Linked DNA regions of Xenopus tropicalis. The protein of the gene in region 1 purifies or fractionates together with the protein of each later gene. This does not show direct contact. Links are inferred from orthologs where the notes say so. Each region holds a gene or a part of one and is shown in the gene's direction. Other genes may lie near its edges.

What was found.
Region 2: the proteins of prkaca (region 1) and pde4dip purify together in Homo sapiens (affinity purification with mass spectrometry; 5 studies listed by BioGRID and IntAct, with this or other methods). This does not show direct contact. The link is inferred for Xenopus tropicalis from reciprocal best matches to the Homo sapiens genes PRKACA and PDE4DIP.
Region 3: the proteins of prkaca (region 1) and palm2 purify together in Homo sapiens (affinity purification with mass spectrometry; 5 studies listed by BioGRID and IntAct, with this or other methods). This does not show direct contact. The link is inferred for Xenopus tropicalis from reciprocal best matches to the Homo sapiens genes PRKACA and PALM2AKAP2.
Region 4: the proteins of prkaca (region 1) and map2 purify together in Homo sapiens (affinity purification with mass spectrometry; 3 studies listed by BioGRID and IntAct, with this or other methods). This does not show direct contact. The link is inferred for Xenopus tropicalis from reciprocal best matches to the Homo sapiens genes PRKACA and MAP2.
Region 5: the proteins of prkaca (region 1) and vapa purify together in Homo sapiens (affinity purification with mass spectrometry; 4 studies listed by BioGRID and IntAct, with this or other methods). This does not show direct contact. The link is inferred for Xenopus tropicalis from reciprocal best matches to the Homo sapiens genes PRKACA and VAPA.
Region 6: the proteins of prkaca (region 1) and akap9 purify together in Homo sapiens (affinity purification with mass spectrometry; 7 studies listed by BioGRID and IntAct, with this or other methods). This does not show direct contact. The link is inferred for Xenopus tropicalis from reciprocal best matches to the Homo sapiens genes PRKACA and AKAP9.
Region 7: the proteins of prkaca (region 1) and vapb purify together in Homo sapiens (affinity purification with mass spectrometry; 4 studies listed by BioGRID and IntAct, with this or other methods). This does not show direct contact. The link is inferred for Xenopus tropicalis from reciprocal best matches to the Homo sapiens genes PRKACA and VAPB.

What each region holds. Positions count from the first base shown.
Region 1 is NC_030679.2:134,183,959-134,187,458, reverse strand, and holds part of prkaca (cAMP-dependent protein kinase catalytic subunit alpha), read left to right. Parts: intron 1-387; coding exon 388-470; intron 471-2,731; coding exon 2,732-2,858; intron 2,859-3,085; coding exon 3,086-3,181; intron 3,182-3,500.
Region 2 is NC_030680.2:118,199,742-118,201,923, forward strand, and holds part of pde4dip (myomegalin), read left to right. Parts: intron 1-38; coding exon 39-181; 3' UTR 182-2,182. UniProt on the Homo sapiens protein: Functions as an anchor sequestering components of the cAMP-dependent pathway to Golgi and/or centrosomes.
Region 3 is NC_030677.2:108,637,168-108,640,667, reverse strand, and holds part of palm2 (paralemmin-2 isoform 1 (palm2)), read left to right. Parts: intron 1-505; coding exon 506-607; intron 608-3,500. UniProt on the Homo sapiens protein: Binds to regulatory subunit (RII) of protein kinase A. May be involved in establishing polarity in signaling systems or in integrating PKA-RII isoforms with downstream effectors to capture, amplify and focus diffuse, trans-cellular signals carried by cAMP.
Region 4 is NC_030685.2:55,867,946-55,871,910, forward strand, and holds the start of map2 (microtubule-associated protein 2), read left to right. Parts: upstream 1-1,165; 5' UTR 1,166-1,227; intron 1,228-3,965. UniProt on the Homo sapiens protein: The exact function of MAP2 is unknown but MAPs may stabilize the microtubules against depolymerization. They also seem to have a stiffening effect on microtubules.
Region 5 is NC_030682.2:104,692,147-104,695,039, forward strand, and holds the end of vapa (vesicle-associated membrane protein-associated protein A), read left to right. Parts: intron 1-127; coding exon 128-277; intron 278-1,984; coding exon 1,985-2,122; 3' UTR 2,123-2,393; downstream 2,394-2,893. UniProt on the Homo sapiens protein: Endoplasmic reticulum (ER)-anchored protein that mediates the formation of contact sites between the ER and endosomes via interaction with FFAT motif-containing proteins such as STARD3 or WDR44.
Region 6 is NC_030682.2:31,557,614-31,561,113, forward strand, and holds part of akap9 (A-kinase anchor protein 9), read left to right. Parts: intron 1-2,060; coding exon 2,061-2,237; intron 2,238-2,966; coding exon 2,967-3,071; intron 3,072-3,500. UniProt on the Homo sapiens protein: Scaffolding protein that assembles several protein kinases and phosphatases on the centrosome and Golgi apparatus. Required to maintain the integrity of the Golgi apparatus. Required for microtubule nucleation at the cis-side of the Golgi apparatus.
Region 7 is NC_030686.2:2,710,335-2,714,517, forward strand, and holds the start of vapb (vesicle-associated membrane protein-associated protein B/C), read left to right. Parts: upstream 1-1,383; 5' UTR 1,384-1,482; coding exon 1,483-1,540; intron 1,541-4,183. UniProt on the Homo sapiens protein: Endoplasmic reticulum (ER)-anchored protein that mediates the formation of contact sites between the ER and endosomes via interaction with FFAT motif-containing proteins such as STARD3 or WDR44.

The sequences.
Region 1 (3,500 bases):
GCACCCCCATATATAAATAAGGCATGGCCAACATCTTCCATTTTGTGCCAGCAGCTATCCGTATGACATCCCATATGTATACTCTGAGAATATCTAACAAGTTGTATATAATATGTTGTCACTTTATTTACTCCATCTCCTTCCCTTTTGATACAACTCCCTCTCTGCACTATCCTAAAACTGGCCCCGCGATACCCAGCATCCTTAGGAACAGCTAGCTGGGGATGCTGGGAGAAGTTTAGAAATACAATAAGGCTGCTGGTCTGTATTGTGCAGTGACAGCGTAATGCACTCTAGGACTTATTCTCTCCCCCCACCCATGTCTCTTCTGCCCTGGATGTGCTATTGCCTCACCTTTCCTAATGTCTTTTCTTCTCCTCCCTCCAGGATAACAGCAATCTGTATATGGTCATGGAGTATGTCGCCGGTGGGGAGATGTTCTCTCATTTGCGCAGAATCGGGCGCTTCAGGTAAGCATAGGCCAAGACTGCTAATGCCCTTACCAGTATGCGCCCATTGGGCCCTGAATGCTTGAGAGTGGTCACAAGGTGATAGCCACTATCAGGGTTAGGATAGTTATCAATAACTTCAGAATAATGGCTCCTTATGTACAGAACTGCAGCCTGCTCTCTGCAAACACCAATGCTCCTTATTAATATTCAAGTATTTGGGCTTTATGGTATGTTTCTCTGTCCCAAACACCTTCTGGTTACAGACTGGTCTCTCATAGATGTGTTTATAGCCAAGAAACCTTAAACTTGTACCCCTGAAAGGAAAACTATACCCCCAGAATGAATACTTAACCAACAAATTGTTTATATCATGTTAAGTAGCCTATTAAAAAATCGTCAAACTGGAATACATATATATCGGTAAAAATTGCCTTTTTACACCCTTTCCCTTGAGCCGCCATTTAGTGATGGGCTGTGTGCTCCCTTAGAGATCAGCTGACAGGAAATAATGCAGCTCTAACTGTAACAGGAAGTAGTGTGGGAGCAAAAGGCAGAACTCTGTCCATTCATTGGCTGATGGGGCCTAGCATGTATGTGTGCCTTGGCTTGTTTGTGTGCACTGTGAATCCTATGATCCCAGGGGGGGCCCTTAGTACTTTAAATGGCAGTTTCCTATTTAGGATTACCCAGTGGCTAATACTCCTTAAAAAGTATATTTTTATGAAAATGGTTTATTTAGATGAAGCAGGTTTTTACATATGAGCTGTTTATACAATATATTTTTATAGAGACCTTCATTGTTTGGGGGTATAGTTTTCCTTTAGTGCCCATTACCTTTATACGGACTGTCCCTGCCATATATGTTCCCTCTGATGTGCTCACAAACACTTTATGGGCCAAACTTGGGGCAGACCGGCTGTTTATCTCATAACCTGATATATTATAAATCCCTGGGACTAAAGCAGGGTGACAGTCTCTAGCCATGTTGTAATTCAGGAAGTAAGCAATTCACCCCTAAATCTCACCCTGTTTGCCCTTCAGAGTGTTTCCCTTGGGGGGTGCAGGGGTAGAACCTGTCTCATTGTTCGTGAATCACAACCCTCAGTCCAATTGACCTACCTTTTAAGTTTTTGAGAGGAAACTGAGAGTGAACATATAAACAGATTATGCAGTAGATCATACAGTCCGCTGTGCCAACACTAAGGTACCAAGTGTCAGCACAGAAGAGTCTATGGTTCAGGGGGTGGCCTTACTGCCAGCGCTAAATGAGAGAAACCCAGGATCCCAGTGGTGCCATAGAGCCGTACAAACTCCTTTGCCACTGTCCCGTCACGTCCCCCTATAGGTTTACATCATGATGTTCAGATACGGCTTCTATTCCTCTCCAACTAATGTTCTACCTTCTCTCTGTGCCGGTTCTAACACCCGGATGTTACCGGAGATGGACTTTGCCTCATTTCCTCTGACAGCTGCTGTGGGCAAGCCCATGGTGATTTCCAAGTTCTGTCTCCTTTATCAGCACCATGCTGCTTATCTGTGTATTTGCATGGGCAATTATACGGGCTGACGGTATAACCATACACCCAATTGGAGAAGTACACCGCCTTCCTCATCTATGGGTCCTCTCAGTAAATATTGTCCTTTGTACACATGGCACTGACCTATCATTCAGCCCTTTTATTGAGATTGTGCATCACATCTGTCCCTCTTTGAATGGAGCTTACAGCCTACTTGCCCTAGCACATACTCACACTCAAACACACACTCATGATTGGAGTTCCAACCTATACAATGGCTTACAGAGCTTGTGTGCCCCTGAGAGATTGGTGGCTGCCCCAGGGTTCCCCTTGCCTTATCACACACATTCCACTGCTAGGTGCAGCCGGCTGCAAGGATGGAGCTGGAAATGAAGTGAGCGGTGTGTATACAGCAGACGTTTAGGGTTAGGACCTCCTTATAGGCATAGGTTTTGTTGGGGGAGGAATAGACAGAGCAACACTGAACTCTGAGGCAACCTGCTCTGCACTGACTGGTCCATCCCCCCCCCCCCTCCCCAATCTGGTAACCAAGCTGCCCCCTTTCCACTTGGGGTGAGTATTCTGAGATTTGTAGATCTTTCTTTAGCTGATGTCTGCAGTTCTAACTGCTTGCAAATAAAAGTAATGGCCAGGCCAGCACTGTTTATTAGAATACAGAAATCTGTGCATCTCTATACAGCGAGCATTGGGGTATTGGTACATATCATTACGCCTAACGTTTTGTTTCTCCTGTCCCCACAGTGAACCTCATGCACGCTTCTATGCATCCCAGATTGTATTAACTTTTGAATATCTGCACGCCCTGGATCTTATATACAGAGACTTGAAACCCGAGAATCTCCTCATAGACCAGCAGGGATACATCCAGGTAATACACCCCTTGTGCCAGCAGATGGCAGCTTTCTTACAGGTCCCCAGTGTGTATACAATAAACCTATAACTGTATATGTTTGGTACTTTTGCCATTATGAGGGCCCAGGGCATGTACCCACTGCTCTTGCTAAACCCATTTATAATAACCTTCAGTAATGAACTGGGGGCATGGTACGACTTGGGAAGCCAGATATGGAATCACACTTATATGCTGTTTTCCAGGTGACGGATTTTGGCTTTGCAAAGAGAGTGAAAGGGAGGACCTGGACCCTGTGTGGGACACCAGAGTACCTGGCGCCAGAAATAATCCTTAGCAAGGTGAGTATGACCCTCCCTGTAGGGTATTTTCTTGGCTTTATGCTCGGAGCTCCCCCCTACATTCCTTTATGTAGCTCAAACTGAGTCTGATAGTGGAGATCCAGCTGTTATGGCAGCGTGCCCTGGGCAGTGGGGCAGTAGGGCTGAGACTGATTTACTCGGCAGGTTAGAAGGCCTGAGAGGATTTTCTTGGTTTTCTCCCACAATGCCCGCTACATCTGACACTGGCATCTTTTGCTTCCATGCCAGCTCCTTATACTCCTGGTCACAGAAATGTATGGGAAAAAATGAATGACATCCCAGGCCCTGGCGTATTTAG
Region 2 (2,182 bases), on another chromosome or scaffold:
TCCCAGAATTCTCTGAATGTACTCCTACCCTACTACAGGTCCGGTGCAACAGAGATCAGCAAAGTTTCAAAGCCATGTAATGGACGTCTTCCAAGAACCTCCTCGAAAGAAACCTCAGCTGAAATCCATAAAGTGCCCGGATCACTGGGCTTGCCACAGATTGATCCAAGCTACTCAGTAACAATGCAGCCTTGTGCAGAAGGAGGCTGTCAGTCATTAAAGGTTACACCCTGGGTGCTGGTTGGAAGAATAGAAGAAATAATCTAGAACACAAAAGGCCCATAGTCCCTATGTACTGTTTACTGATACATTGCATTAATGTTTTTGTTCTGGCAGGATTGCTAATATGCCGAATTTATGTCAAAACTATTTCATATGAATGGATGCATGCATTTGTTTGCAAACGTTTTGGACTGACTAGCTTCCTATGCAGTAAAAATGGTGGGGTGGCCCAAGTGTTTTAGCAGTGATTGTTTCTTCACTGCTTGTTATCCCTGCAACAATGAAAGTGACCATTATGACCATGTATCCATATCATGGGGTCTTCCCAACCAAACAGGGGAACCCCCTACCAAATGCGGTCTTCCCAAATTTCATCCAAAAAATGGGAAGCCGAACAAAAAAATCTGAGGACCTCGGGGTCAAGGTGTTCTCCATCAGCCAGCAGCCAGGTAGTAACCTTTACTAAGGCTCTGATTTTACTGATTTTGCTGTGATTGAGTAGATTTTATATAACAAGATGCAATATTAGAAAGCCAATGCTCTGTTTTCACGACTTTAGCACTACGACTGCCATTGTTTGAACCAAATACCAAAATAATAACAGAATATGATGGAGGTTACAGATAACAGAATTGGGAGTTAATTATCAGCTGAAAATAGAAGTGAACACAATGGGACTATACATGGATATAACTACCACAAAATGATCATTTTAGAATGATCCTCCATCTACCCGTGTAACAGATCATTTTCAGAGCAGATGTCTTCCAGGACAATCCTCACGAGAAAATCCAAATATTTTGTAGCAATATGATGGGACTCAAAAATCTATTTTATTCAAGAGACATCCGGATAAATTCTTAATTACAGCAGTCGTATTTGTGCGTATATGGACACTCAAAGTAACACCAACAATGACCAGCTTAAGACTATAACAGGTTGAGCAACCTGCATCAGTAAATGTGATACTTATAAACCTCCAGTGTCAGTGGGTGAGAGGAACTGGTTTCCATGTGTACATGTGTGTCCAGAAGAAGCTCAAACAATTCCCTGCAACAGAATGCTCCTATGGACTTGAGTTGATGATTACAGCGTAGCAGGAGTGGTTGTACAGTACACAAATATTTTTTAGCATTGTTCAGAATGTTCTACAGAACTTTTACAAATCACTGAAACTATGCAAACATGGACTTGCAGAGAGTTAAGGAGGGTTAGTTGTATTTCTTCTAGAAATCCAACTAACCAGTAGCAGATTTGATTATAACACTGGATATATGGGACTGGCACCACCAACCAGCACAGAGCAGGTTTAGTAAGCCTAATGAAATGGATTCCTGCAAATGTTATCTCTACATCAGAGCCTCTTAAGGCTTGTGAATATGAAGAGTTGCACAATACAGAAAGAAGTTCCATCATGCAGAGTCAACATGGGATTTAGCAGTGTTTTTCCTATCCAATTTAGGATGTCTGGGTTGGTTTTTCATTGTTATCTCTGCAGAAAATATAGAAGTTATTCTCTTGCTTATTAATATATTCTACAGGGAACAGTGAGTCTGCCTGACACCCATAAAGAACCCAACAAAGTTTACTTATGGTACTAGGGAGTCATTAGTAGTCATTATTTGGCTAAAGGCCAGCAGTATTCATAAGGAATACAGCAGCTAGCTCTTGGCTTACCAATGCAGTTTTTAAGGTACTGACCTACAAAAGCTCAAGATATTTTTCAGTTAACCCTGCAATTCAAGACAAGTTTAGCTGCTTCCGTATTTCTAAAACAATGATAGCAAACCTACAGCTCTTCAGGTTTAGTGTAATAGCACCTACCGGCCTCTTTGGCTGCTTAACAAATGGCTAAAGAGAATGGGAGATGGGTTAATGCCCCGTGTGGAAAGCCACAGGGTGACAATCGACGACTGAAAACATCTACAAAATGTTCAAGTAAAATGACCTGTGATGTAAT
Region 3 (3,500 bases), on another chromosome or scaffold:
AGTGCTTGTGAACAGCCTAGAAAAGCAGCCAGTGGAAATCGAACTGACAGTACAGCCTTTGGGTTATCCAAATTCAGAGTATCATACTTAGGTTGGCCAGTAGTTATTTATTTTTCTAAATGCCCTCAAATGTGTTTCTGATCAGGTGCAGATAATCTAGCAACTTCAGCGAAAGACACACATTCAATTTGATGAAAGAAATCTATTTCAGTTTCCCCACAGACCTTAATGACCAAGTGATAAAAGTTTCCCATCAAGATGAAGCAGTATGTGATGGTTTAATGCAGCTTGAAGAGACCTGTTCCCTCCTACCTCTGCTAATCTATTTAATGCCATTCACAAGGCAATGAATCTGCATTTTGCTGCCATCCAGTTACAGAGTAGAGAGCTTTAATTCCCATTGTTTAGACAAAGTTGACACACTGCTGTTTAAGCACTGCTATGGCTTTCTGACTATACAATGCTGCTGCTAACCAAACCCTTTTCTTCTCTTTTCTAATACCAGATGCTGTGAACTACATTTACTCTGAGATCCCTGACCTCACAACTTTTAATTTACAAAATACAGAAACATCCCTTTCTGGTGACGGAACGACAAGGGTAGCTGGTAAGTATATTACACTGTTACATTTAAGAGTAAGCTTGCATTTTTAAGTTGTAATACAATTTTGATCATTTTGTAAATTAACAGATTAGTGCAATATCATATCCTAGTTTGCACTTAAAGTAAACCAAGCCTGTTTCCTGGATTTTATTTTAGAAATGTTGTTTTAACAGATTTAAGTTAGAAAAATTGCTTTTGTTTTTGCAGCTGGCAAAGTATTCTACGTTATTGAACTCTCTCTAAACCACTTCCACTTTAAAAGTGATTGAAATCCCATAACTCACTTGGGCACCCAAAGCAAAAACATGTTGTAGTATATGTTATACAACAACACCTTTTCTTTATTAATTGCTTATGTTAAACTAATGAATACATAATGTATATATAAAAAAGGCTAACATTCTATACCCTATTTGTTTTGTAAAGTTTATGGTTAGTCAAGGTGGATATCTGTATCAGGTGGGTACCTACAAATAACTACCTGTCCAAGGACCTTTTGTCTGCAGTGGTATACTATCATGTCTATCTCCTCCTTCAGCATTGATTGTAATTATAATTAATTTTATCAAATTAACCTTAAAAAATCAATCATCTGTCATCAGCCTTTAAGCCCTTGATCTTACAGACTAGAAGCATACTGCATAATATGGGTTTTTGTGTATTTCCACAAGCTTTTTATCACATTAAATCAGGGCATGTCATTGTAAAATTAAAGCATGCAGTTAAGAATATTATAGTTTATTAGATCTTTGCCTTTCTACAGCTAGAGAATCCTTCAGTGTAGGTCCAAGGTTCAGTCCAAGGTCCCTTGTGATCTAATTCACTTCCTCTTTTATATTGTTGGCAAATGTTTTTATTGGAATACTTAGCAAAGCTGCCATTTTAACATTTCCTGAATGAGCAGGGGATTTTTCTTTGTATCTTATGTGAGTGGGATCCTGAAACAGTTCATAATTTTGAATCATTGTCAGATGAGAGGAACAATGGCAGTTAAATGGCCTTATAAACTTAAGGTAATACTGTCATGGGAAAACATGTTTTTTCAAAATGCATCAGTTAATAGAGATTCTCCAGCAGAATCCTGCATTGAAAACCTTTTTATAAAAGTTCAAACATATTTTTTAATATTTAATTTTGAAATTTCACATGGAGCTAGCCATGATTGATCTTAATTTCCAGTGAGTGCCACAGCCAGTAGATATCTGAATGGTACTCAACAATAAGAAATCCAAGTCCGGATTGGGACTGCTTCAGTTTACATGGATTAGAATAACCAATAGCTTATCTAAAAGCAGTTCTAATGTGTTGCACTGGTTCCTTGTGAAAGCTCAGAATCAGACACAATGCACTGAGATGGCTGCCTACACATCAATATTACAACTGAAAAAATACATTTGTCAGTTCAAGAATAACATTTTAAATGGCAGACTCTATTTAATTCTGATATGGCACATCACTAGTTATATCTGATGCTTTCCAAGTACATCTCTATAGCTACACTCCAGCAAAACAGCATTCCTATTCATATTCTTTAAATTGGGGTTCAATTACAACAATTATCAGGTACTGCTGCAGCATATAGGAATTGGAGCTATATGTGTGCCTCATGTAGTGGGATTTGCTGTCACTTTCCATAATGTAGAGCAGGAAGAGAGGTACTCAGTCACCTTATGGTCATAAGAGCCCTGATTATTATAATAAACACTAGCTTTGTTAAGATTATAAGAAAAATAAAAAATATATTTAAATTTTTTGAATCAGCAAATGTACAAGCAAGTTACTAAAAGAGAAGAATCATTGTATTTCAGAATTGCTTTACCTATATGTTGCAAATACAATTATTATTATTATTAACAACAACATTCATCAGGCAAAGACCTCTAATCATAAATATGTCATTAATGTCATGTAATAAACAGTTTTAGCTTCTGCAAACTTGTATGTGTATGTATGTATGTCTAACTTTATTAATAAAGCACCACAAGGATACGCAGCGCTGTGCAATATACACAATTAGACACAGGGAGGACAAGTGTTATAATAAATAAGTATAAATACACAATCTAAGCGGTCTAGTAACATACAGGCACAAACTGGAAGGTAAGAGTGCACAAGGTATGGGCATTTGCCCTTAAGTGCAGGACTAGACAAAATAATGTTTTAGTGCTACAGAAGGTAGCATATGAGTTTTTTCTTAAAGACAGGGAGTGAGTGTTCCCTACGGAGGAATTCAGGGATAGAGTTCCAGAGATAACGAGCAGCAAGATAGAAAGGTTTAATACAAGAGAGCGCAGTGGGTGTGGATGGTGTAAAAAGGCGGAGGCTCTGAGAGGAGCGGAGGAGAATACCAGGAACGTGTAGGGAGAACCTGTTTTTTAGACCCCGATAATACATTGTGTGCGATGAAATCCAAATTTGTTTTTACAAAATACAGACATTTTGTATTAAAGGTATTTTATTGAGTTACAAAACACAGCTGCTAAGAGTATGCAGCAGTAAAATATTATATATAATATGCTTTGGATTAATGAAATACAGTTTATTCAGGGGTTGACATTTCTCAAAAGGTATGGCTTTTACCATTCTCTATAAGCTACAAAAGTCATATACATTCTCTAGCTTCTTTAGAAAAAATATGAGATCATAAAAATCTATTGGAGGGCCACATCTGGCCTGAGGCCTCCAGCTCTGAATTACATTGTTACTACACATTTCAACCTCAATATTTGGCAAACTGGGCCTTATCAGTTTGAAAAACAAATCCCTTCATATTACACTATGTGGCACTAACAGCATTTAAATTTACACAGTACATTTCAAATGTGTCACTTGTTAATCAGATAATGATGATTAGAAGCATTCAATTGACTCTTCATATGCACATTTGTAAACAATG
Region 4 (3,965 bases), on another chromosome or scaffold:
GCGAGGCCACAACGGCCCGGGCCTAGGGCAGCACAAATTTAGGGGTATGCCCAGCCCAGCCACAATGAAATTTTGCTCCCATATGGAGCAATGGGGGTTTGATGCACGGAAACATTAGCGCTTCCTCCCCCCCACTGCTCTGTATGTGAGTTGTGGTGCACATGCATGCACACAAGGCATGGGGGGAGGAGGAAGTGGGCGGGCGCCGAAAGGGTGCGGCCTCGGGGCGCCCTAACTTCAAATCCGGCCCTGGCTCAGTGTGTCATTGCCCCAAAGGGTGTATTGTATTCCATCTGCAAAAAGGAAAGATGAATCTATACTGTACCTGTATAGTATACCCCAAGCCTCCAACAGTGGAATTCCAAGTTGTGGCAATGCAGTCAAGTTCAAGGCCAATAGGTAAAGCCATTTAAACTGTAAGTTAGCCAAATCTCCACAGAAGAACTTAGAGTGATAAAGATCTACAAAGAAGGCATTTAACAGTTGTTGTGTAACAATTGTCATAATGTACAAGAAAAAAGGCAGAGTTTCAGTCTCAGCAGGATTGTAATAGGCACTAATAGTAATAATGAAAAACTCTCTGCATCTGATAAAACCAGCCCCCTACTAGCAATCTGCTGATCATCATTTAAAGCAATAACAGTTTTCCAGAATAGTAAGGTGACAGCAGCCCATTAAAACATGATTAAAAATAATACATACAATAGATCAACACCATTTAGAGTTCCTTAATTTTCTTTGCAGCCGTTTATTTAATAACGGAACTATGAAAATATCTATTATAATAATTTCAATCCCCATTACTTTACCGCACATTTATCAAAGCGCATAATTGTAGCTCACTACAGAGGAACCCAACCACTTTATGTTCTTTTAGAAGCGTATTTATCAAAGGGTAAATGTTAGAGTTCACCATTTGATAAATACGCTACACCTAGATAAAACTACCCTATATTGAAGTACATAAAGCCAGCACTATGTGAAACTACCTCAGCTTAATGGTCACAGACACACACACACACACACTCACACACACACACTGAGACCACACCCAAGTACAGAGTCAGGGACAGCACTTGACAGAGAGAAAAGAGCCGACTCAACAGCACTGGGCGGGGTTATGGTAATTGCGGGCGTGTCCTGTTTCTACTCGGACTTCTCTGGAGCTACATGTGATCAAAGCGATCTGAGCATCCCTGGTGCTGCAGCCGGAGAGTGACTGATCCGGTGAGTAGAGCGATACAGTCGCTGACTGACGCTGGTACAGAGCATTTCATAAACAGCCTGTAAGGATCATCTGCACTTCCTAACACTCCTTTTGTACCATACGATCCAGTTGCTCTGTTGCAGCCATACATATACTCTCGTACTAACCTTGAACCGCCTCTTGTACCTAATATCCGAAGCCGGTATCCTTAACCATATCCTACTTTATCTAACCTCTACCTTCCGACCACTTATTCTATCCGCTCTACTACTGCCAAGCAGTTCTTCTTACGGCTGCCTGAATCTTTTTGTGTAACTCATCTGCTCAACCTTTTAACCAGCTAAGGTAGTTTATATCTAGTTATCTAGTCAATTTTAATCAACTTTGTCATTTCAGCCCTTTTAACATAATTACCTCACCTTCCAATCACCCCTGCCCTCCAGCCAAATAACCATATTATCGATACAAGCAGTCTTCCAACTGCCCCTTTATTTTATATATACTCCCATCCAGATCCCTGCCCTGCATACATGCCAATGACACCTGCAGTGTTTTTCATTCATTTATCTGTAACTTTGCATTTCAACAGGTCCATCTGTTTTACACTTACATAAGTCTTTCCATTTGACTCATGTATATCATATATTTTGCATCATTGATGCTAGCTACACCTAGAAACCAAGCAGTTCTGTACAAATACTCCTCTTCCCCGCCCTATATGTTTGATCATTTTTGGTTGTGGCACTGATCTAATCACATTCCTGTTACTGAATACACTCCCCTATCCAGCCTAAACTTTACATGTTTCAGATCTTTGTTCCTTTATGATATTTTATAATTGTTTAAAATAATTATCTTTTTATAAATATGTATTTCACACTAGAATAAGTTGACCGCATGAGCTTGTAGATTGCTATATACCAATAGATTGATATATACCAATAGGTACTTGGTTGCCTTCACCTATATCTGGCTGAGCACTGCAGTCTGCATTGCAGTGTGGGATTTAGCAGCATTCGCATTACAATAGTGACTTTATAATCTGCATTTAGCACTTGTATATAGCACCACTATAGCTCTTGTACCTGGACTCTTTTCATTTACTTCCCTTTAGTGCAATGTATCTGTATATCCACCCCAACCCAGGGTGCATCATGCCTGCAGTGCAGCAGTGCTACACACTGACAGACCAGAGAAATGATTGCTTATACCAGTTTGTAAGGCCAGGAACAGTAGCTGTCATGATGGCAAATGGAAACTTTACAATATATGCAGTCTGCAGTAGAATACCTGTATGTCATTATGAGTTATGGCAACAGATCAAAAAGCTTGGAGGGTGCAGCCTATACAGTATAGAATATGAAAGAATGAATTGAGGAGTTTTATGTGGCCGATGAAATGCAGTGGGAGGATGCAGCTAGCCTCCCTTTGTTTAATGCATATGCTGATAGGACATTTATATGAAGTAATGCATGGTCTGTGCCCCAGCTCAATTCATAGCAACCCTGGCAGCAAAATTATGTGCTCAGCATTTGATTTAAAATGCTGGATGAGATGGTTTAATATAATACTGGTACTATGGAAAAATGCCAGGGATATACAGAAGATAAAATGCTCCCTGGCACTCGCTTCTTGGAGATTTATAGCCATTAGTGTAGAAAGCTAGGGGTTATTTTTAAAACAAATCTCTTTTCATTAGGCTTGTGCATGTAAAAGCCAGTGACCCATACAACATCCATGTCTGATTTTCCAAAACAGTGATGATAAAATGGAGCGGTGTGTAACTGTGCAATATCCTTTCTTTAGTTAAAAGGAGCATGTGTAGTTAAAAGGTTTAGCATGCATTTTGGTGGCGGAAAAGGTTTTTTCTAAACACAAATATTGTTATTGACATTTACAGTACTACAGTTATCCATTCATTCTGAACTATCAGTTCAATCTTCCTGTGGTTAGGTAATTAATATTAGAAAATACTATCTGCCATGTATGTCTGATTGAAATTTACAGTTGCTTATTCATTTCACCACCAAAATGGGCTATATGAACTGATGGCTGCTGTGATTGTACTAACAGAATATTCTAGACTGGAGTTCTTGCTACAAAACAATCAAAGCAAAGGATGTGTTTATACAAAATACATGATCTGTAATGTCTAATACAGCTCCCATCCAGTCTCTGAAGTGGCCCATCCCACTGTTTTTTTATGCTACTTGAAAGTGTGGGGGTGTCTGAATGACGTTCCAGTTATTCAGTGTTGCATGTATGACGCTTTGACAAATGATTTGTTTTGTGCCTTTACAAATATGCATGAACTGCCTTTAGACTAAGGCTTTCTGATGTACTCATAGGTGCTTCCCTTTTGTGGCTGGGTGTTACGGATGAATATTGTATGTAGTAAAGAATAGAAATTACAGATTATGTTTGTATGAGCTGCTGCAAGTAGTTATTCTTTACCAGAGCGGAAACAAATCATTTCATGTGTAATGCGCCTTTAGCTTATCCCTGGCTCTGTTGCAAAGCAGAAACCAAAATGTTTATCCAGTGCTAAGTCCAGAAATATTTTCACCTTTCTAAATAACCATTTCTAAGCAATGTTTCATTTAGTTTTCACCATTTATTTGGGCTGGTTTTTGAACTAATAGCATTCCTATTCTAACTATTTTAAGTATGTAAGTGAAAATGCTATCTAATTGTTGTGGTCAAAATAAAAACATTGTTGTAATTTCAGGACCTCCCTATAGGTCTTCCATTTTATCTT
Region 5 (2,893 bases), on another chromosome or scaffold:
TAGACACACATAGCATGTGTAGCTTAGAGTACATATATCTATTTTCCAAAGCTGAAGAGATTTAATAAGCACATGTAGAAACCATTCTAAAATGCAGTAACTGACTATTGTAATTATTTGTTTTCAGACACATGAGTCAACCAAATTGTATTCATGTCTTCCTGGAACAAAAGGCAGTTCTTCCATGGATGACACTGAAACACGGAAGTTAATGGAGGAATGTAAGCGACTGCAATCTGAAATGATCAAACTATCAGATGAAAACCAAGTTCTAAAAGTAAGATCTCTTTGTGTTGGTTATACAAGTGTTTAAAGTGATACTGACACCAAAAATGTTGTTGTCTTTTAAACCTTTCATTGCATTATTGTTGTATTATCTCTTTAATTTCAACCTAGAACCACGTAACTATCACTTTTACATTGCCATTCTGATCTCATGTGTTTCTCTCTGAGGGGGCTGCCATGTTTGGGCAGCAGCTGTTTGTTGTTGTTTGAAAACACTGCCCTTGATTTTAGTTTGAAAATCCTAGCCAATTCGAAATCAGTGCTGCACATAAAAACTATTTCTAATTAAATATTTGAATGCTGAAGTACAACTGTGGACAGTGAAGTGTTCAGGCATTCCCTTCTAAGCATATTTGTTCTGATACCCTTTGAACATGCAGGTGGTATCTTAAGTTAGGTGATTATAAACTGGCCTGTCTCCGTCATGTATGGACAACAGAGCTCTATAGCAGGCATGCGCAGCAATGATTTTGATCTGTACCGGAGTGCGTTCCTTCATAATAATCACAGCAGTAGTAAGTATAGTTCTGGCCGCGAAGATTTATTGAGAAGACACTTAAGCTGGCCATACACGTGGCGATCTGACGATCGCACGAAACATCGTCAGATCCGCCACACACCATTCAGGGCTGAAACAATAGGATTTCTACCTCCTTCTGCCGATTCAGCGCTGAAGGGAGATTTTGGTCAGGCGCCCGATCAAAATTTTCAAACTGGTCCTTTCGGCGAGTCGGCAGATATCAGCAGCTTCCCGACGACTCGCCGGCATACCATACACGCACCGAATATCGTACGAAACGAGGTTTTGTACGATATTATCGGTGAGTGTATGGCCACCTTTACATGCAGTGCTCAGTGAAAGTTATTTGATGTCTGTGGTGTGGGGGACACACAGACTGCAAGGAATTAATTAATTAAGGGGAGGAAAAAAATAGATCCGCCCAGCTTCAGCTGACGTCAGTGAAGTGAAACACTAATTGACAGGTTGAGAAGTGCCAGTCGGGTTTCAGACATTCAGGTAACTATATTAAATAAAGCAGACATCTGGGCAAAAAAAAACCTAATCAATATAATTCATAGCTAACTTTTGATGTACATTATTTTGAGGACTACATTTTTTATGTCAGAATCCCTTTAATACATGTGCATTTACATGGGATTATTACCTTCTAAATTGTATGCATTCATAGCTCTTTAAGGCCAATTTTCAGAACTTTCAGCAGTTAGGAGGAATAGAACAAATCCTCAAGATTTGCTATTAACTTGCCACTGCAGTGCATTAATGTCCTTGACCCCAAAAACAATTTCAGCCCAGTCTTCTCTGTTTGTCCTGGTTTTCTATATTGCAACCTCTCCTATGTAATGTATCCATTTTATCCTGGATCTTCCCCTTTGTCATGATTCTCTATTAGTTTCTCACTATATATGACTATACATACAAGTCAAAATTTTGGCATCAATCTCATTGGCCTATCCACTTGCCTACTGCTTTTTAATTTTAAAGGCTATGTCAGGCATATTATCTGAATCTTCAGTTCCCCATTCTCCAACACTTATACAGGACCAAGAATTATGATTATCTTTTTCTCTTTATGAATATTCATAGGAGTTTTATTCCTTTGTGCTATAAGGGTTTACATTTAAACTTGCATCTTTTATAGTTTCTTAATTGATCTCATTTTTTAATTTTTTTTTCTAGGAGGAAACTTTACGAATGAGGAAGGCATCAGATAAATCAGGCAAAATGTTACGAGATCAAGGCATCCCTATTCCATCTCTTGTTGTTGTCATTGCAGCAATTTTCATAGGATTCTTTCTAGGAAAGTTCATCTTGTAAAGCATGTGATGCGCAATTTTTTCCCTCCTGGCCAGAAAGGCTATCTACCAGTACTTTCGGTAGAATTGTTCTACAGGCTGTTTTGTGTACAGAATCACATAGGCACCACCTTAACAATCTCACAGTTGGGGAAGCAGAATTAAAAAAAAAAAAACAAAACAAAAAAAAAACCTGTGGTTATGGGACTATTGTTCGTTCATCAGCAGCAAGTGTCTGTCATATGTTCAATTCTTTATGGTGGGGAGGTGGAAGTAATCTAAAAAAAAAAAAATAATTTTTCTGTGGTTTTAATATGTTCAAACAAAGTTTAAATTGTCTTGTAAATTGTTATTTTAATCCTTTTAAATTTATCTGTTATCTTTTGCAATATGATTTCTGTAGATTGCTAATCTCATTCAGGTAAATGCCGGAGATATCTTGGGATGCTGTCTCTTCAGTGTAAATTCTGTCCTTTAATTTCAATATATTGCGGTTCATATTCTTCTTGTGAAGCAACTGTGTGGTTTTTTTTTTTTTTTTTTGGTTTTTTTTTTTTTTAATTTCTTTGGCATATCCCATTATATTTAACATTAAAAAATAAAATCTGTATATACTATATCATTATGAAGGATAACCTTTTTCTATCTGTCATAGTTGGGTTCTCATGAAGTTTGGTGTTTGTGCTGACTTTGATAATTGTACAGTCTGATTTTCTGTGTATTTATGAATGGCTCTGCCTTCAGTGCAATGAAAGCTTGTAAAGATCCTATTGGTATTAAAGGGTCAGTATAC
Region 6 (3,500 bases), on another chromosome or scaffold:
ACTGCTGCAGATTAAAGGTGCTTTGCTCTGTTGTACAGGTATAGGGCCTGTTATCTAGAATGCTCAGGACTTGGGGTTTTCCAGATAAGGATCTTTACATAATTTGTATCTCCATACCTTATGAAGTCTGTGGGAGACAGCCTTCCTATAATTTGGATAAAAGATCCCATACCTGTATAATTAGCTTTTTTTAAAGACTAGTTCTTTTTATTGAACATCAGTCTGTCCAGTGTCAAGTCAGAGGCAGCTGGAAAATACCATCAAGCTTACCACGTTTTGTACAGTAACAGCTGGCAGTGTGCTTGATACAGTAGTACAGTGCTGTCCAACTGGCGGCCCGCGGGCCGCATGCGGCCCGCGACCCCCCTCTGTGTGGCCCCCCACCTGTCTGGCTGCTTTGATGGCTTACCTTTGAGTAAGCATTAAATGGTAACAGTACTGAGATTAACTGGCCCCCTGCATGGTTTTCACCTCAGATTCAGGCTGTAATCCCCCTGTATTGTTTAAAAATGTAATCCCCTGTGTTTTTCACACCTTTTAATACCTGCATGGTTCACCCCCTGCAGTGTTCACACCTCAGGCTCAGGCTGTAATCACTCCCATTGTTCACTTCTTCACACCTCAGACATAGGTACTGTAGGCAGAGTATGGCACATACAGCCAGCATAGGGCAGGTAGAGTATGGCACACACAGGCAGCATAGGTCAGGGAGGGTATGGCACACATAGGAAGGGTAGGGCAGGCAGAGTATGGCACACACAGTCAGGGTAGGGCAGACAGAGTATGGTACACAGAGGCAGCATAGAGAAGGCAGAGTATGGCACACATAGGCAGGGTAGGACAGGCAGAGTATGGCACACACAGACAGCGTAGGACAGGCAGAGTGCTGCCTGTGTGTGCCATACTCTGCTTGCTCTATGCTGCTTGTGGGAGGTGAACCTGGCAGGGGTTTGTTGTGGGAGTTTGTTAGCAGTTGGAAATAGCCATTAAATGGTCCCTAAGGTGTGTAATTATGTACTGGGGGTTGCTCTGCTATCCACAGGGGAGGAGGAGGCATATGGAATTTAAGGGTATATCTTAATATGACATAATTCTTTCACATATGAATGATGGTTGATATCCCCACAGTAAGGACCAAGCATTTGGGATTTTGCTGTGTTACCACCATTGTGATAAAATAGGTGTGGTTTGAAGTGGGTGTGGTTTCAAAAAGGGGAGTGGTCAAAACTGGCTTCCATTAGCGGCCCTCCACCATGTATGCTAGAGAAATTCCGGCCCTCGGCACCGTAGAAGTTGGACAGCACTGCAGTAGTACATTGGGTCCTGTGCCTATAATCATGTTCCCAGTGAAAATATCTGAATCATCTGTACCTATAGAAGAAGCTGGGAAAATACAAATTAATTTGTCAAGAAATATAAGAAAGGTCACTTTGACACACCCACCTCTGTTTTTATGTATTTATCCGATAGCACCTGTTGATCCAGTGCTCCTTTGTTTCCCTTATTGTGCATTTTTATAATGTTTGCAATAGGCCTTCTTTTTTTGTGGTTTTTCAGTTATTTAGCTTTTTGTTCAGCAGCTCTTCAGTTTGGTATTTCGGCAGCTATCTGGTTGCTAATGTCTTAATTACCCAAGAAACCAGCCAGTAATTTGAATGAGAGATGGAATATGAATAGTTAAAGGACTGAGTACAAAGATAAGCAGTAAAAGTAACAATAACGATAGAATTTTAGCCTCAGAGAACAATAGTTTTAAGTCTGCTGCTGTCAGTGACCCCCCTCTGAAAGCTAAAAAAAGGCAGAAAAGGAAGGTAAATAATTAAAAAAATAAAACTATAAAAATAAATGATGACCAATTGCAAAGTTGCTAGGAATAGGACATTCTATAATATACTAAGTGAATCGCCCCATTAAATATTAAAGTATTCCTTTGGATCTGTGTACATTGTGCCATAACTCACACGTTTAATTATACAAATAGATGCATCCACCAATGTACGAATGTACAATTTAAGAGGTATTTTTGGTTGATTTTTTTTTTTAAATTTTTTTAAAAAAAGCTTGAAAAACTGGAAACTAACCTAAAGGAAAAGACAGACAAATGCAATGAACTGCTGCTCTGCAAAGAACAGTTCCAGCGGGATATTCAAGAAAGGAATGAAGAGATTGAGAAGCTGGAGTGTCGGATCAGGGAACTGGAGCAGGCCTTGCTCATCAGTGATGATACCCTTAAGAAGGTGAGTTAATTTACTTGTGACCTTCTCCCTACCTTAATATGTGATAATGGCTAGATAGGTGCATACACACGCAAAATGAAAAAGGATCCTCCACACCCAATTATCTTGTTGTATCTTGTGTCTGTGGTGCTTGGATCCAATATTTGTTAAGTAAGCATTAGCTTTACAAATGGAGGCGCAAAACTTGCCATAAACTAACTGATATTATCGTATGAAACCTTGTTTAGTACGATATTCGGTGTGTGTGTATAGTGGATCGATGAGCCGACCTGTATTGCAAAGGCTGCAAATATCGGTCGTCTCGACGATCGGCTGAGTTAAAAAGGCGGCCGAGCAAAGTCTGCGTTTAGGGCTGAATCGGCAGGTGAAGGTAGAATCCCTACTTCTACCTCCATGTCTGACAATTTAGCCCTGAACTTTAACATGTACATGTATGGCCACCTTTAGGCACAGCACCAGTGAAGATTCATGTAACGGGTGTGTGTGTTTTTAGGAATAGAATAGGATTACCCCACCCCCTAAATGTTGTTACTCACTCTCTGTAGATAAATAAATAAATTCAGAAATGGACTGGCAATCTGTTGATTCTGGCAAATACCAGAATAGGTTACACAAACTATCTGTAATGCTTTTTGATGTGATTTTTGTGTGCTGATTTAGGGATGGACGAGGGATGAAAAGTTAAATACTAAATAAACAAGTCTAAGTAATATGTACATTTTCTTGAAGGTGGAGCTCAGAAGACAGTCCATCGTCATTAGTTCCAAAGGAGAAATACCTCTAGAAGCACAACTCCAAGTGGAGCGTGACGCAATAGATCGAAAAGAAAAAGAGGTGCGAATTCCCTTAATTAAAAAAGACATTGAGACCTTTTTATTAATAGTTTATCTTAATTGTCTACAATTTTTTTCCTACATGCAATTTGCATTAGGGAGCAAGGATTTGGAAAGTGAAAGTAGCGATGGTTGCTACCAACCAATAGAACAGGATGATAAATTAGCCACACAGGTTGACTGACTTTTCTATATGGCAGTACCTTCAAATTAAGTCTTTTCAAAAATGCTTTATGACCTATTGCTACAATAGATACTGAATCGAAACATTTGGAAATATTGATTGATCCTATGATTGCTAGAATGCAAATGTTGAGAAGGGCTTTTTTCACCTTTTGAGAGGTGTCAAAATTTCTCTGCTGCAGAAAAATGTACACAGGGTGCAGTGAAACAGTGCCAGATATTACAAACTTATTATGTGAGTGGTAGG
Region 7 (4,183 bases), on another chromosome or scaffold:
GGGCGGTGAGAGAGAGCGGTACCCGGCGGTGGGAGAGAGCGGTACCGGCGGTGGGAGAGAGCGGTACCCGGCGGCGGGAGAGAGCGGTACCGGCGGCGGGAGAGAGCGGTACGGGCGGTGGGAGAGAGAGCGGTACCGGCGGCGGGAGAGAGCGTGAGAGAGAGCGGTACGGGCGGCGGTGAGAGAGCGGTACGGGCGGCGGTGAGAGAGCGGTACGGGTGGTGAGAGAGAGCGGTACGGGCGGTGAGAGAGAGCGGTACGGGCGGTGAGAGAGAGCGGTACGGGCGGTGAGAGAGAGCGGTACGGGCGGTGAGAGAGAGCGGTACGGGCGGTGAGAGAGAGCGGTACGGGCGGTGAGAGAGAGCGGTACGGGCGGTGAGAGAGAGCGGTACCGGCGGTGGGAGAGAGCGGTACCGGCGGTGGGAGAGAGCGGTACCGGCGGTGAGAGAGAGCGGTACCGGCGGTGGGAGAGAGCGGTACCGGCGGTGGGAGAGAGCGGTACGGGCGGTGAGAGAGAGCGGTACCGGCGGCGGGAGAGAGCGGTACCGGCGGTGGGAGAGAGCGGTACGGGCGGTGAGAGAGAGCGGTACCGGAGGTGGGAGAGAGCGGTACCGGCGGTGGGAGAGAGCGGTACCGGCGGTGAGAGAGAGCGGTACCGGCGGTGGGAGAGAGCGGTACCGGCGGTGGGAGAGAGCGGTACCGGCGGCGGGAGAGAGCGGTACCGGCGGCGGGAGAGAGCGGTACCGGCGGCGGGAGAGAGCGGTACCGGCGGTGGGAGAGAGCGGTACCGGCGGCGGGAGAGAGCGGTACGGGCGGCGGGAGAGAGCGGTACCGGTGGGAGAGAGAGCGGTACCGGCGGTGAGAGAGAGCGGTACCGGTGGGAGAGAGAGCGGTACCGGCGGCGGGAGAGAGCGGTACCGGCGGTGGGAGAGAGCGGTACCGGCGGCGGGAGAGAGCGGTACGGGCGGCGGGAGAGAGCGGTACCGGTGGGAGAGAGAGCGGTACCGGCGGTGAGAGAGAGCGGTACCGGTGGGAGAGAGAGCGGTACCGGCGGCGGGAGAGAGCGGTACGGGCGGCGGGAGAGAGCGGTACCGGCGGCGGGAGAGAGCGGTACCGGCGGCGGGAGAGAGCGGTACCGGCAGGAGGGGCGGGACAACCCGGTACCAATAAGGGGAGATCCCGCGGGTTTATATTCCCGGATATCTATGTGACATTACACAGGGCGGATACGGGGTCCCGCACATACGCTGCCAGCGCTAACTTGCCCCTCCCCCCCAGGCGCCGCCATGTTGGCCCTTGAGCCCCAGTGCGCAGCCGCGGCCCCGCCCCCAGCCCTTGCGCCTGCGCGCCGCTCACCCCCGGGCCTTGCAGGGGCCGTGACGTCACAGCAGCCTCCGCCCTCCGCCGCTTTGCTGCATCACCCGCTCCTGCAGCCGCCACCGCCGCCGGGACAGGCCCGGACCCCCAGCCCACACGGGAGACATGGCCAAGGTGGAGCAGATCCTTCAGCTGGAGCCCCAGCATGAGCTCAAGTTCCGAGGTACCGGGGGCTCTGGGGCACTCACATTAATCCTGCAATGTACGGCTTGGGGGTACTGCTGGGATACAATCCTCTAATGTACGGCTTGGGGGTACTGCTGGGATACAATCCTCTAATGTACGGCTTGGGGGTACTGCTGGGCTACATGGGTTATAATCCTGTAATGTATGGGTTGGGGGTACTGCTGGGCTACAATCCTGTAATGTAGGGGTTGGGGGTACTGCTGGGATACAATCCTGTAATGTAGGGGTTGGGGGTACTACTGGGCTACATGGGTTATAATCCTGTAATGTATGGGTTGGGGGTACTGCTGGGCTACAATCCTGTAATGTAGGGGTTGGGGGTACTGCTGGGCTACAATCCTCTAATGTACGGCTTGGGGGTACTGCTGGGATACAATCCTCTAATGTACGGCTTGGGGGTACTGCTGGGATACAATCCTCTAATGTAGGGGTTGGGGGTACTGCTGGGCTACATGGGTTATAATCCTGTAATGTATGGGTTGGGGGTACTGCTGGGCTACAATCCTGTAATGTAGGGGTTGGGGGTACTGCTGGGATACAATCCTGTAATGTAGGGGTTGGGGGTACTACTGGGCTACATGGGTTATAATCCTGTAATGTATGGGTTGGGGGTACTGCTGGGCTACATGGGTTATAATCCTGTAATGTATGGGTTGGGGGTACTGCTGGGCTACAATCCTGTAATGTAGGGGTTGGGGGTACTGCTGGGCTACATGGGTTATAATCCTGTAATGTATGGGTTGGGGGTACTGCTGGGCTACAATCCTGTAATGTAGGGGTTGGGGGTACTGCTGGGCTACATGGGTTATAATCCTGTAATGTATGGGTTGGGGGTACTGCTGGGCTACATGGGTTATAATCCTGGAATGTATGGGTTGGGGGTACTACTGGGCTACATGGGTTATAATCCTGGAATGTAGGGGTTGGGGGTACTACTGGGCTACATGGGTTATAATCCTGGAATGTATGGGTTGGGGGTACTGCTAGGCTACATGGGTTATAATCCTGGAATGTATGGGTTGGGGGTACTACTGGGCTACATGGGTTATAATCCTGGAATGTAGGGGTTGGGGGTACTGCTGGGCTGCATGGGTTATAATCCTGGAATGTATGGGTTGGGGGTACTGCTAGGCTACATGGGTTATAATCCTGGAATGTATGGGTTGGGGGTACTACTGGGCTACATGGGTTATAATCCTGGAATGTAGGGGTTGGGGGTACTACTGGGCTACATGGGTTATAATCCTGGAATGTATGGGTTGGGGGTACTGCTAGGCTACATGGGTTATAATCCTGGAATGTATGGGTTGGGGGTACTACTGGGCTACATGGGTTATAATCCTGGAATGTAGGGGTTGGGGGTACTACTGGGCTACATGGGTTATAATCCTGGAATGTATGGGTTGGGGGTACTGCTGGGCTACATGGGTTATAATCCTGGAATGTATGGGTTGGGGGTACTGCTAGGCTACATGGGTTATAATCCTGGAATGTATGGGTTGGGGGTACTACTGGGCTACATGGGATATAATCCTGGAATGTACGGCTTGGGGGTACTGCTGGGCTGCATGAGTTGTAATCCTGGAATGGGGGATGCTGGGGTGCAGGGCCAGTGGGGGCCGCTGGGGTGCAGGGCCAGTGGGGGCCGCTGGGGTGCAGGGCCAGTGGGGGCCGCTGGGGGGCAGGGCCAGTGGGGGCCGCTGGAGGGCAGGGCCAGTGGGGGCCGCTGGGGGGCAGGGCCAGTGGGGGCCGCTGGGGGGCAGGGCCAGTGGGGGCCGCTGGGGGGCAGGGCCAGTGGGGGCCGCTGGGGGGCAGGGCCAGTGGGGGCCGCTGGGGGGCAGGGCCAGTGGGGGCCGCTGGGGGGCAGGGCCAGTGGGGGGTGCAGGGCCAGTGGGGGGCGCTGGGGTGCAGGGCCAGTGGGGGGCGCTGGGGTGCAGGGCCAGTGGGGGACGCTGGATTACAGGGCCAGTGGGGGACGCTGGGGTGCAGGGCCAGTGGGGGACGCTGGGGGGCAGGGCCAGTGGGGGGCGCTGGGGGGCAGGGCCAGTGGGGGACGCTGGGGTGCAGGGCCAGTGGGGGGCGCTGGGGTACATCCCATTTCAGAACCTGCCTGAGGGAGGTCTTGTAACCATGAGTGCAAGGGGTTGCTGGGATACAGGGCTGAAGGTAGGGGGTCCCTATTATAACTGTCAGTTTGGTATGTGGGTAAAGGGCAGAGAGCTCCCTGATAACAAAGAGGAGTAGTGCCCCCTAATTATATGGGGGTTCCCTGGGGCCCTGCTGTGCTCCCCAGTCCTGATCCATTTATGCCCCCGTAGTGCCAGTAGGGTGCAGGGTGCACAGCCCCGATGCTGTATCCAATATACAGGGGGTATATATAGGGTGTAATGGGGCGCATATACTGGGGGCAGTGATACATAAAGTCCTGTCTGTGCCCCCCTCCCATTGGCTGCATTCCTTCTGACTGCTGATTGGGCAGTGTTGGCACAGTGTGTGTGGGTAGGGGACCCTGCGCCCACTCTGTGCGTTAGTGACACTGGGGGCTCGGGGTGGGGTGGGGGGGGTATTCGGTACTTTGTAACGGTGAGGAAACCACCAAGGGAGGCCGGACAATTGTAGG